Linked DNA regions of Caenorhabditis elegans. The protein of the gene in region 2 interacts with the protein of the main gene of each other region in a pairwise test. Each region holds a gene or a part of one and is shown on either strand. Other genes may lie near its edges.

Region 1 (5,668 bases), on a different chromosome or scaffold from region 2:
TGGTGGGTGTTCATATAGATCGGAGAAAGAATGACGAAAAATGATTGACAAGAGAATACATATTTGGATTGGCTCACACCTGTATTAATTGAAGAAGATCAGTGAGCTAGCGAGGAAATTTGAATAACTTTTAAAAATAGCAAGAAAACTTCTAAAGATTATCATTGAAGAGGAGCAATTTTCTAGACGTTTTAGTTACAGTAATCCCTGTGTTACAGCAAATCTTGTCTCCTCTTCCAAAAAACCATTACAGTAATCATAAATATTGGAATTATTTGAAATCAACCAACAAAACTTGCAATTGAAAATTGTTAGAATCTATTTAGAAAGAAATAAAAACATCAAATATATGTTTACACCATGACGAGTCACTAAAACTAATCGAGTTGTTGACTGAAAGTAATTCAAAATCATCGTTCGGCGCCGTACATTCTGCTGGGTTTTCACACGTTCCTATTACATTGATAAGAACTTGAAATGTTTCAAAACATTGTTGAAGCTCGAAAGAAAATCGATGATGTGTGTGTTGCTTCTAGGGACAGCTTTTCCTCACTCAGCTGTGAAATGCTCTTCTTCTCCTTCTCTTACTTCTTTTCTCCAACTATTTTCACATTTTTCCCCTCATGAGTTACTAGACACAAATTTTGAATAAAATTTCTCTATTTATAATATTTATATTTTCAGGCTGGAAGAGCTATTCGTCCAATCAACAAGAAGCATCTACTCGGAGAATAATTGGAAGAATTGTTAATTTTTTGTTGATTTTTTAAAAAAACTTTATTGTTGGTTTTCTCTCTTTGAAGTGTCACCTGAAATGTTCGTTGTTGTTAATTTTATATGTTTTCTTTACGGTGAAAGTTTAATTGAGACCATTTTCTCATTATTTTCTCAATTTTACATTTCCTGTAATTCTTTAAATGAAAAACAAATTTTTTAAAAAATAATTCAATTATAATCAGTTTTTTCGTTATGGTGGATATCCCCAGCAATTTATTTGAAATTTGAAAATATAATTTTTGTTGTTAAAATAATATTTTGAAAAAGTTGGCAACGAAACCCAAAGTTTTGAAATTTTGAAATAAAAATCTCAAAAAAATGTCTGCTTTTCGCTTTCGAAAGTATTTAAAATTTAATTTTTTAGGGTATTTCTCTATTTAATCATGTCTCATTAAAATCAACATTAAATATTGAACTATTCTTCATTTTTCCAGATATTTTCTAGAATTGTTTTTTTTTATTTTTAAAAACATTTTTTGTCGGTTAAAAACCACTAAAGATTTTGAAAAAAAAATTTTCCATACTTCAATTTTTTAATAAACGAAAAATTTGGTTTAAAAAAATCTGAAAACACTGCAACAACAAGTTTTTCTGACAAATTTCTCACAAGAACCTGCACCTTCACTATTTTTGAGAAAATAAACCCCAAAACGTTTTTTTTTTCGATGTTCAGTTTTAACCAAAAAAAAAAGGTTTTGATTTTTTTAAATTCGAACAAAAATTTATATTTTTCGGTTTTGAAAGAAGAAGTGAATCTCGGTGATCAGCACGGAATGGCACATGCTCTCAGAGAGATACAAGCACACAGTATTCTCATGAAAAATCGTTTGTAAAGCTGCCCCATCCACGCCCAATTCTCATCGCCAGTCAGCTTTTTCTCCACTTTTCGTTTGCTCTTTTCCGTGTGCTCACTCACTCACCCTGCGCCTCTTCTGATTCAGCGTCTGTGTCTCTTATAATTCAACACTTTTTCCACTATTTTTAATACCCCGGGCGGTTTGTGTGACCAATGCTGGCCAAAAAGTACACGTGTCTTTTGCCGTTCTTTTAAATTTGAATATGCTGCATTCAGACATTGATTTTTATGTTTTGAGAAATGTTTTACAACGTCTTACCCTTTCTAAACCCTGCAAAACGCCATTTTCCGCACTAAACTAACTGATGATGAATATGCGTTTACAACCAATCAAAAACATTCGTTTTGAAACAGACCAATCAAGAAACTCTTGAACTTTTTGTTTTCCTATAGATCGGTTGATAAGCATACTTTTTACAGCTGGAAAATCATTTAAATGTTCTTAACATTTGCCTTAAACATTTTTAAATTCCCTATAAATTCTCAAATCGAATAACAAAAATTTCAGAAATGCTGCGGTGGTTATCCCTACTTCTATTCTGTCCGGCTCTACTGAATGCTGAAGTTGTTTCATTGACATCACAAAACTTCGAGCAAACTATTCGTGAGCTGTCTTCAACTATCTATGGAAAATATGCTAATTATCATGTTTCAGAAGCAAATGAACTCGTTTTCGTGAATTTCTACGCAGATTGGTGCCGCTTCTCGCAGATGTTGAAACCCATTTTCTTGGAAGCTTCGGAAAAGTTCAAAGATGCGGCTCCGGGCAAGATTATGTGGGCTTCAGTGGATGCTGATAAGAACAGTGAGTAATAAATTGGAATAATTCATTTATTTTTATGAAATTCAGACGACATTGCCACAAAATATCATGTTAATAAATATCCAACTCTGAAGTTGTTCAGAAATGGAGAAGCCGCGAAAAGAGAGTACAGGTTAGTTGCTTAATTTTAATTTGTTTTTTTTTTAAATTTAAAGTTAATAAAAATATATAAAAATTTATAATTTTGTTCAAAAATTTTCTTATAAAGATTTGGCAAACTGTCGAACTTTTAATAAATGTGCAGAGTTCTAACCTCTACACCTCCTCCTTCTCCTCCTCTACACCTCTACACTCTGAGAAAATTTTTTTTGGTCAAATTCCAAAATTATAATATGTGAAACTAAAAATTAAGATATTTCAAAAATTTGTTTTACTATGATATTAGGACATTTTAGCACTATAGGCTGCAATTTTACACAACTTTTTTTATTGACGATACACTTATTTTTTTCAAAAAAATTATTTTAAATTTTGAATTTCAGAAGTTCCCGATCCGTGGAGGCTCTTAGCGAATTCATCAATAAACAAATGGAAGTTACAGTGAAGAAGTTTATTGAGAAAAATGCACTTCAAGCTGCGCATAATGTGAGTTTCACTGAAAATATTTGAAAAACCAAAATAAATTTTCTATTGTGGCAAAAAGAAGGTTTCAAAACTAAAAAAGTATATTTTTCAGCCAGAAAAGAACACATTTATTGGATATTTCCATGATGAAAACAGTGTCGAGTACAAGAATCTCATGAACGTGGCAATGTTTTATCGTGATGAATGTGAATTTATGGTTGGAATCGGAGATTTGAACTTCCCTGGAGAGGCACCGGCTGCTGGTCAACCACCGAAACTCGTTTTCCAGCCATCTAATAAGGCTGTGAATCCAGCACAGATTCCATTCTCTGGAGATTTTGCCACTTATGAATATCTCAAGTTAGTAAAAGTTATGAAAAATTTAGTTTTTCTCATCGCAATGGTAGTTTGTCTTACTTGAAAAATATTCTCACATTGAACCTGAAAAAATGAAAAGCTGAAGAAAAAACCCAAATTTAAGCTTTTTCGGTGATTTCTTAAATTCCCACGCGTTCTAAAAAAGAGCTATCACCAAAAAAAAACATTTTCTGTTCGGTTTTTTGGGTTAAAAATAATTTAATTTCTTCACAAATCTTTTTTAAAAATACAAAAAAATATCTTTAAAAAATATCTCATGTTTCAAAATATTAAAACTTTTTTTTTGTTAAGAAAAAACAAAGGTTAACCAATTTTCGACAAAAAAAAACTCGATAAAATTTAAAAAGGGGCAAGGAACCAATTTCGAGCCGAGGAGACTGTAAAAAAAATAATTATTGTAAAATTAAATTTTCAGACAATGGGTTGCTGACAAATGTGTGCCATTAGTTCGTGAAATCACATTCCAAAATGCAGAAGAATTGACTGAAGAAGGACTTCCATTTATGATTCTTTTCAAGAAATCTGATGATAAAGTCAGTGAGAAGATCTTCACTGATGCAATTGTTCGAGAACTTCCTGATCAGAGAAAAGGTATTTTATTCGAGTTTTTTTAGATTTTAAAATGAATAATTTCAGCAATTAACTGCTTGGTCGGTGATGGAACAATCTTCAAGCATCCACTCAGTCACTTGGGTAAATCGGAATCCGATCTTCCAGTCATTGCAATTGATTCTTTCCGACATATGTATTTATTCAAGAATTTCGAAGATGTCAAGTAAGATCTGGAAAATGGATTATATAAACAAACAAAATTATTTCAGCGTCCCCGGAAAACTCCGCGAATTCGTGCTCGATCTGCACAGCGGAAAGCTTCATCGCGAATTCCACCATGGTCCAGATCCAGTGGTAAGTGTCACTTTTTGGGAGTTTTTTGGTTTTTGAAATTTTTATGAAATTTATTGAAAAGTTAGTAAACGAATTTTTTTTTATTATCTGAACCAGACTTTTTTCTATACCACCTTTAAAAAAGTCTCTAAAAATCCTTGAAAAATGTAAAATTACAAATTTCATGAGATTTTCAGGACGGAAAATCCCTCAAATTGGGAATTTTCTATGAAAAAAAAACAAAATAAATGAAGCTTTAACTGAAAATTGAAAAAAAAACTCCGAATTATTAGAAGATTTAAAAAAAATTATGGTTGGGATGATTTTTTCTAAATATTTTTCCCAGACGCGAAATGTTGTGCTTTTTCCGTCAAAAATACGGTAAACGGGTCTCGAAACGACAAATTTTTGTCAAATGTGAAAAGGTATGCGCCTTTAAAGATTACTGTAATTTAAAATTAGTTGCTGCGGTTTTTTATTGATTTTTCTTTTTTTTTCTCGATTTGAAAAAAATTATTAAAAAATTATTGTTATATCTGATTTTTTTTTAAAATAAATTTCCTTTTCTGATCGAAAAGTCAATAAAAAATTCAAGAAAAAATAAATCTTGAAATTACAGTACTCTTTAAAGGCGCGCACCTTTTGTATTTTTCAAAAATTTGCCTTTTCGAGATTCGGTACCGTATTTTTATTGAAAAAATTGCAGTACTTATTTCCAAAGACCATATTTACAATTTTCGTAAGACATTTCAGACTGGAAATCAAGCACCGGACACTGAGCCACCACCGTCTACATTCGAGAAGTTGAAGCCTGCTTCTTCGAGATACACAATTCTTGACAAAACGGAACTTTAATTTCTTTGATTTTTCATTTTTGTTTATAACAGAGCTTTATATCACAATTGCAACATGGCCTTGTTTTGCATTTCTCTGGTGTTCTTTTTTTTTAATTTTCAGTTTTATTCGGTCAATTTTCCATTGGTTTTGGTTTTATTTCTTGGTTTCTACGAGGTCCCCCCACACACAACTATTTAATCCCCGATTTCCACAAAAAACTATACATTACTATGTTATTCCATCGGATTGTTGTTCTTTTGCCAATCAAAATCCATTTCTTTCCTATTCATCTCTCTGAAAGTTTTAGTCAATTCCTGTCTGTGATGCGCGGTTTTATTCTTCGTTTTCCCATGTCTCTATCCCTGTCTTTTTTTTGTTTTTAGATTCAATTTTATTTCAAAAATTTTTTGAATCTTAAATTCAAAAACAATCAACAATGTTAACAGAAACGAATGAATATATTTATTCTTTCTATTTCTTCAATAACCTTTTTGTTTTGGCGGTTAAATGGATTCAATCCGATTCATCTACTTGTCAAAGGTGATTGA
Region 2 (7,780 bases):
AAAAAGTTACGTATTTTGTGAAATTAAAATATTTCTTCTTGAGTTAAAATTATTATTGCCATAATAATCATACTTGAGAGTAATAATTTCTACGCAAGACTTGATCAGCCAGCCAGCTTATAAAAGTTTAATAGTGAATCAATCTATCGTCTTATTCCTCATATTATTTTTTTTTAATTTTTTTGTAAAAATATGTTTCTAAAATTATATTAGGTCTCCAAATAAGTTCCGGGTCAAAAATCATTTTTAAAAAATCCGTCCAAAAAAATTTTTTTGGTTGGTCGTCAAAAAATCTTCGAAAAATCTAGATTTTTCCTACAAAAATGATGTAACCAATTATAAACTATTTTTACACATGCAAAAAATTTTATTATATTTTATGTTATCATTTTAGTGTGACAAACTAAACCCAAATGTTTTGTATGTGTAAAAGTAATTTACACTTGGTTACATCTTTCTTGTAGGAAAAATATAGAATTTTCGACAAAAAGTTTTTTGAAGATTTTTTGACGATCAAATTAAAAAATTTTTTTTTTGGACGGATTTTTTCTAAACTTTTGTTGTTTTCTAAAAATGTATTCTAAACAAAGCAAAATCCGCACACAAACCTCAATTCAAAGCTGAAAAGAAGCGAGATCAGAAAAATGCCTGAAAAAATTGCCTCCGAGTTAGGACACTTGGGGTGGTAAAAAATTTTTGTGACTATTGTCAAATGAAAGATCATGGTTGGTAACATACATCCCAAAGTTTCATAAAAATCGATACGCAGCGAACAAAGTTATGATTTTTGACCCGGAACTTATTTGGAGACCTAATAGTACTTGTGATACTAAATATAAATAAAATTATAGTACTTGTGACACTAAATATAAAAATATATAAATTCATAAACCTGCTGTTTTTATTCAGTTTCAAATAAGTATTCGAAAAAAAAGAACTTAGTTGAAAATGTCCAATTAATAGCGTGAAAAGCATTATTTTCCTGAAAGCTCATATTAGCTTTTGTTTCTTTTTGCGAATTAAATCTACCGGCAAAAAAATATTTGAAAATTTACAACCTTGATATATTTGCATAATTTTCAAGATTGTAAATAGTTTTGTCAGAAACAAACAGTTTTTGTCATCATCTTACATTCTTGGAATCAAAAAAATTGGATGAGGAAACCAAATGCCTGAGAGCAACAGCTGAAAAGTTTTGCCCTTGTGCTCAAACACACAAGAAAATAATGAGCGAGAAGCTATTGGAAACCTGATCCGTGTCCCGTTTTTTTTCCTATCCTCGTTCTCAATTCAGGAAAAAAACTAGAGGCAAGGCTTCTTCTGTTTCTCCTTCTATGTGCTTCTTCGATTGACTTGAAAGGTGTGAAGTATGTAAACTTGACCCAAAAATTTAGCTTATAAAAAAGAAGCTCAAAAGAAGGAAAAACGGCTCAGCTTTATCGCTGCTGTCGCTTCGTTCTTCTCACGGACGTACGTGTGTATGTGCGTATGTTTATAAGCTTCTTGGCTTAGAGGATATCGGAGGCGGAGACTATGTCTGGATTTGATACTTGTGCACCGCTTTTTAATTGGGCAATATGATACTCGCCACAAATCCGGGAAGCTCCTCCAACAGCTAACCAGGAGAGAAAAAGGAAGACGTGTAGTGGTTTTACCTCCGGCCATCTGATATTATTCTCTTCTAGAGTTCCATTTACTAAATATTTGAACTACTGATATTCTTACTCATAAACTTTTAAAATGAGCCTACGACCAAAGCAAAAGTCATCATCCACTTCGGTGTTCTTAAAGTCTCACAAGTTTTCGTTAACATCTCATATTTTAAGGTAAATATTTCTTTCACGTTTTCTGTTTCTGGTTAAATTAATTATTGTGTTGACGTTCAAAATTCTTGCCAATTCTTACCTCCCTGCATTAGTTTGTGTTATTCCATTCATCCCTTCATCATACCTCCTCCCATCTGCGATTTTCATTAAACCATTGTAAAAGATTTATTCTGGTGAAGGAAGGCAAAAAAGCGCGAGACGATGGATAGTGCAGAGCGTCGACGATCCGAGACCGATATTGGTGGTGGTCCCAGAAATAGCGCTGATGCTCGGCCGAGCCTCGATCTGTCGTCCGATCCTATGCTCGAGTCGAATCTTGCACTTCGTAAACTATCTGAAGCTTTCGGTAAGTCGTCAAAACTATTCAGTAGCATAGAAAAAAACACAAGTCCTTTGTATCCCTCTAATTTGTATTCTGACGTTTCATGTGGTTCTCAGGCGAGTGGTGTTTAGTACACACATGGGATAGGGCCCATTTTGGCGTGAAGAATGTAGTTAGGGGAAGTAATTTTTTAAAAATTATGAATTAAATCAATTAACTCTAAAAACATGTTCAAAACCTTCATCACTGATATTCTACATATTATGATTTTTTACCGTTTGCAGTTCATATTTCTTGTGTTTAACAATTTTACCGGTAGACGCAGGGTGACATCCTATATTATCAAATATGAAAAAGTAGTGTTAAAAATATTTGGAAGGTTTCTGTTTACCAAGATTATTTTTATTCAGGTTTGAGAAGAAGCAAAGTCTGAAAGTAAAGCCCTTTTCAACGGACTCATTATTTGAATATGATCTACAAAATATTATATTTTTCACTGTAGTTAGTAATGGTTAGCATATCTGTGTTAGTACGTGATTCTGATAACTTTGTAGTTGTTTCCGCAATTTCTCTCGCACTTTGAAAAACTATCTAATTAAAAGCACAACTGGGCAGCTGTGGCAGTTTTTTGAAAACTAGGTTCCTTTCTATCATCTTCACTCCCTATCTGTCAAAAATGCCCATTGATGAATCATTCAATTAAAATGTCCATAGTCGATTAACTGAGAAATCTGTTGCCATTTGCCTAAAATTGACGTCAGAAAACGCATTCAGAAAAAAAGGCGGTTGTCTGAAAAAAAGCTTCCATGTGACTGCTTCATTTTAAACTTTTTTGTTTGCTCTTTTCAATCGCAAGTGAGCCAAAATAGAATTAAACATCTCAGGGAAAAAACGACTAAATATAAAATTAGAAATTAGAATTGGGACATCACAATACATACCAACGCATTGGCATTGCAAAAAAACAAAAACCAGTTTCCTTTTGTCATTGATCTTCCAATTGACATTGATTGTATTTTAAGTTTCGAGAAAAAATTCTTTAGAATTTGAACATCATATGTTTTCCTTAAATTTTCATGAACAAATTTATCTTATGACTAAAGTTAATGTTTTTCAACATAGTGGTAGACTTAATTTGGAACAATGCTATGTATTAATTTGAGGAATTGTTAAAGATAAGAATGGATGTTGTAAAAACGCCAAAACAAAAAAGTGATGATAAACATAGTATGATAAACGTTTGATTAAACTTTTTTAATATGCAATTTCAACCATAATTTTTCGGAATGTTTTGTTATGATATTTAGCAATGTTGAACTATTAAAAATACGGGGTTAGGGTACTCCTCTTTTGAAGTTTTTAAGCTGGCTGATAGCGGGTATGAATTAAGGTATCGTTAAAAGAACATTAAATTCGCCGAACAGCTACACGGAAAACTTGAAAATTTATAAATTAATGTATTCTACCTTATATTAATCTCTAGTATCTAGTGCATTTATGAACACCTCCGCATTCTGTCATATGCCCATTTTAAAATTTCAGAAGTTAATTATCCAAATAATTCATAGTTTAATCGGCAACAAACATCGCACAATCGCCTTTTCACCGACATAATTTGTTTTTCTTCGCGTCTTTTTTACGAGACTGATCTTTTAAGTTCACATAATTTTACAAACGGGTATTTTTGATTTTGATAGTATGGAATTTTTTAAAGATGGGTTCAAAATCAGGCCACTCAGTCTTTTTGCAAAATTGCAACCAGATTGAATAAAAATCAGATTAGGGATCAAGAATTACAGGAAATAGGTGGGCGGAGTCAATCACGCACCAAGAAAAAACACAGGAGAAATGGAAATTGGAATGGGGGTGGGGTGGATGCGGCATCCATTGATGAGGAGTGAAACGGCGGCGGGGGCCTGTGGTCCCAACCCAAATTGTTCTATTTTTCATGTGCAGAACGACGCCATCAGCCTCGGCTTTTCATTTGCTAGGGTAGTCGTCGCTGCTTCTTCTCATTTCGGGACCTTAACCGAAAAAACGGGAGAAACGAGAGAAAACCTCCGTTTTTTTTCACGTTTGCTCACCGCCTCTAACTCATTTAGCTATCATCTGCTACCCTTTTCAAGCCCCGCCACCAAACGTCAGAAGCTCATTTGAAACATTTTATTAATTTTAATCTTGTACCACTTCATGGAAGTTCCACAAGCACAGTCTTTAGCGGCGGCTGCTCTAATCAGCCCTGTGAAAAACAATTCCACTGGTGGAGGTGGGAATCAACAACTTTGTATTCGAAAGTCTATATCAAACCCTTCTAGTCTAAAGGTTTACGCCCATCACGAGGCACCCGGTATCATACATTTTCCTAGATTTGAATTTTCTCATCGTCTATCTATCCGGCCATTGCTGAAAAGGCTTCACGAACAAGGTGAGCTATTCTACAAAACCTCCCAATTTGCTTCCTTTTTTGAAATTGATTACCAATGAAACACTTTTGAAACTGGCTTGGTATTGTTAGACGGAAATTTTGTTTGAAATCAGTGAGCAATATTTTTTAAAAAAAGTTTCTGAAGATACAGGTCCTAGTTGAAAAAAGGTCAAAACAATGTGAAGAGGGATTTGTTTTTCATCAGAAAATGTTTATTTTTATTAAGTACTATAAAACATTTGTTAGTTTATGTTTTTGAAATCTGACAGTATAAAAAGCCAATATAAAAATTAATATTGCAAATTATCCATGCAAAGTTAGCCCAACAAATAAATGTAGCTTTTCTCATTATGATTTTTTATTGATTTCTAAAATTTTTTAATATAAATTGCATTAACAGCAATCTTGTAAACAAAACAAACATAGTAGTGAAATTCCATTAAAATTCTTCCGTTCTTAAGAAAACAATAAATGGCAAAAAGTTTCTGAGGACCTCCAAGACAAAAGCATCTTCTGCCCGCATGTCCTATGACTATTGAAAAAGGGCGAAAATAAAAAAGTGACACAACCCAGTGTTTCCTGATAAAAATTGTTCATACCCTCCCATTTTCCCCTATTTCGCTTCCCACCATTCCCATGAAACGCGCATTTACGATTGTAAAAAACTTGCGACGTCGAATTTGTAGGTTTCTTGTTTTTTATGTTTTCAAGAGTAATCATTTTGTTCTTTAAAACATGCAAAAATAAAGTTAATCCTTAAAATGACCTCACGACACGGAAGCCAAACCCCATTTCATTTCAAAGTTTGCAACTATAGAAAACGAATACAAAAGGAGGGAGGGGAGGTTACACTAAGAAATAAAATGGTGGGGAAGATATAATTGCGCGGGGCTCGGAGAGCAAAACTCACCTATTTGATTCCCTTTTTCATGTTTGTCTTCGTTTCAGCTCAACGGATCGAAGGAAAAGCATTTGTTCGTCGTGGTGCACTTCGCCAGAAAAATGTGCATGAAATCAAGTGAGTTGATACCAAACTTTGAAACAAAACCCTCGTAAAAGTCAGCACTGTCCGTTTTCCTATCTTGGTTATTTGATAGCTGACATTTATTTTGACTGAAAAATTGAAAAAAAAAATTCTTTCATTATCTTTGAATATCATAGGTCTTTCAAATGAAAACAAAAATCAATATCTTGTTCTTGTTGCACAATTTTGATTCAAAGTTTAATTCTTATCAGATCGCACAAATTCATTGCAAGGTTTTTCAAACAGCCAACGTTCTGCTCACATTGCAAAGATTTCTTGTGGGGTATAACAAAACAGGGATTTCAGTGCCAAGGTAATTTATTGGAAATTTTATTTGATATTAATAATTATTTTCTTCTTAATTTGTATCCAATGCAATTCGAAACAAATGTTTATAAATCATAAAATGCGACTATAAAACAAGTTTGATAGATAAAGAGAACTCTGTTTTCAGTATGTACCCTTGTGGTACACAAGAGGTGTCACGAGTTTGTCAATTTCGCATGTCCAGGAGCAGATAAAGGAGTAGATACCGATGTAAGTTGTGCACTCTATCTTCTTTTTCTCTTCTTTTTTTATGACATCCATTCCTCAAACTTTTAATTTCAGGATCCTCGCCAGCAGCATAAATGGAAAGTTCAAACATACTCATCGCCGACGTTTTGCGATCATTGTGGCTCTTTGCTCTACGGTATTCTGCACCAAGGCATGAAGTGCCAATCTTGTGACACAAATGTGCATCACCGATGCGTCAAGAATGTGCCGAACATGTGTGGTACCGACAATACAGAGAAGAGAGGTAGACTACGAATTGAAGCACACATCGAGAATGATCAGTTAACCATTAAAAGTGAGTGGGGTGCAACGCAGGAAATTAAATGGAAATAGACAAAAAGATTGAAAGAATTGAACTTACGTTGTTCAATGATTCTCAGGAAAATAAATATTTTCATCAAAACTGCTAGAGTGTATAATTATCTTGATACACAACATTTGTTTTACAGTTCTGGAGGCGAAAAACTTGATTCCAATGGACCCCAATGGATTGTCTGACCCTTATGTGAAGTGCAAACTGATTCCGGAGGATTCGGGATGCAAGTCAAAACAGAAAACTAAAACATTGAGAGCTACTCTTAACCCTCAATGGAATGAAACTTTTACTTAGTAAGTCATTGTAACACTTTATTTAAAAATAAAACTTGGGTTTCAGTAAACTGCTACCAGGAGATAAGGATCGGCGGCTTTCTATTGAAGTTTGGGACTGGGATCGTACATCTCGAAATGACTTCATGGGAAGCTTGTCGTTTGGTATTTCAGAACTTATGAAGGAAGCAGCGTCCGGTTGGTACAAACTGCTCAGTGCGGAAGAAGGAGAATTCTACAATATCAACATCACACCTGAATACGACGAAGATATGGAAAAAGTGCGCAAGAAGATGAATGAAAACTTTGTAAGTATAAGTTCTAATGCAATTAGGTGTCTTTTATCGTTTTAGATCACACGAGACAACAGTTCTTCTAAGCCAAAAGACCCGGCTGCCCCAAGAGCTAGTACACTTCCTCTCGGCAGTTCCAATCACAACGTGATCAAGGCTTCTGACTTTAATTTCCTCACTGTTCTTGGAAAAGGATCGTTTGGAAAAGTGTTGCTTGGCGAACAAAAAACAACAAAAGAGCTGTTTGCGATCAAAGTGCTCAAGAAAGATGTGATTATTCAAGACGATGACGTGGAATGCACAATGACTGAGAAGCGCGTCCTTGCTCTTCCGGAAAAACCATCATTCCTTGTTGCTCTGCATTCGTGCTTCCAGACCATGGTCAGTGCGCATAACAGATTTATTGAAAAAAAGGGATCAAACATGTGGAAGTATTTAGATGTTAATAGATGTTCGAATTTGTAATACATTGTTGACATTCATCCACGTGTTTTTCCCTAGGTTATTGCAAATTATTCTGTAACAGTAAGTATGACATTGAAAATAATAATTGTTGGATAGATGGAATATAATATACATAAGTCCTGAAGGCACTTATTTTTGAATGAAAACTCTTCAAACCCCCAATCAAATCCGTATTTTGATGAATCTCTGTTTCAGGACCGTTTGTATTTCGTGATGGAATTTGTAAATGGTGGTGATCTGATGTATCAAATCCAGCAAGTTGGGAAATTCAAAGAACCAGTT

Evidence for each region.
Region 1: the proteins of pkc-2 (region 2) and erp-44.1 interact in a two-hybrid assay, tested with the Caenorhabditis elegans proteins (one large-scale study listed by BioGRID).

The regions. Positions count from the first base shown.
Region 1 is NC_003279.8:5,416,575-5,422,242, reverse strand, and holds erp-44.1 (Thioredoxin domain-containing protein), read left to right. Parts: upstream 1-1,550; coding exon 1,551-1,602; intron 1,603-2,141; coding exon 2,142-2,237; intron 2,238-2,288; coding exon 2,289-2,438; intron 2,439-2,483; coding exon 2,484-2,568; intron 2,569-2,938; coding exon 2,939-3,041; intron 3,042-3,132; coding exon 3,133-3,380; intron 3,381-3,813; coding exon 3,814-3,989; intron 3,990-4,034; coding exon 4,035-4,173; intron 4,174-4,219; coding exon 4,220-4,304; intron 4,305-5,036; coding exon 5,037-5,138; downstream 5,139-5,668. Other genes in the region: utp-14 (Small-subunit processome), read left to right, coding at 685-735.
Region 2 is NC_003284.9:9,374,531-9,382,310, forward strand, and holds the start of pkc-2 (Protein kinase C-like 2), read left to right. Parts: upstream 1-1,740; coding exon 1,741-1,826; intron 1,827-2,005; coding exon 2,006-2,172; intron 2,173-4,034; exon of another isoform or gene 4,035-4,165; intron 4,166-5,521; coding exon 5,522-5,591; intron 5,592-5,809; coding exon 5,810-5,910; intron 5,911-6,051; coding exon 6,052-6,134; intron 6,135-6,206; coding exon 6,207-6,447; intron 6,448-6,601; coding exon 6,602-6,761; intron 6,762-6,807; coding exon 6,808-7,048; intron 7,049-7,093; coding exon 7,094-7,414; intron 7,415-7,693; coding exon 7,694-7,780. UniProt on the Caenorhabditis elegans protein: PKC is activated by diacylglycerol which in turn phosphorylates a range of cellular proteins. PKC also serves as the receptor for phorbol esters, a class of tumor promoters.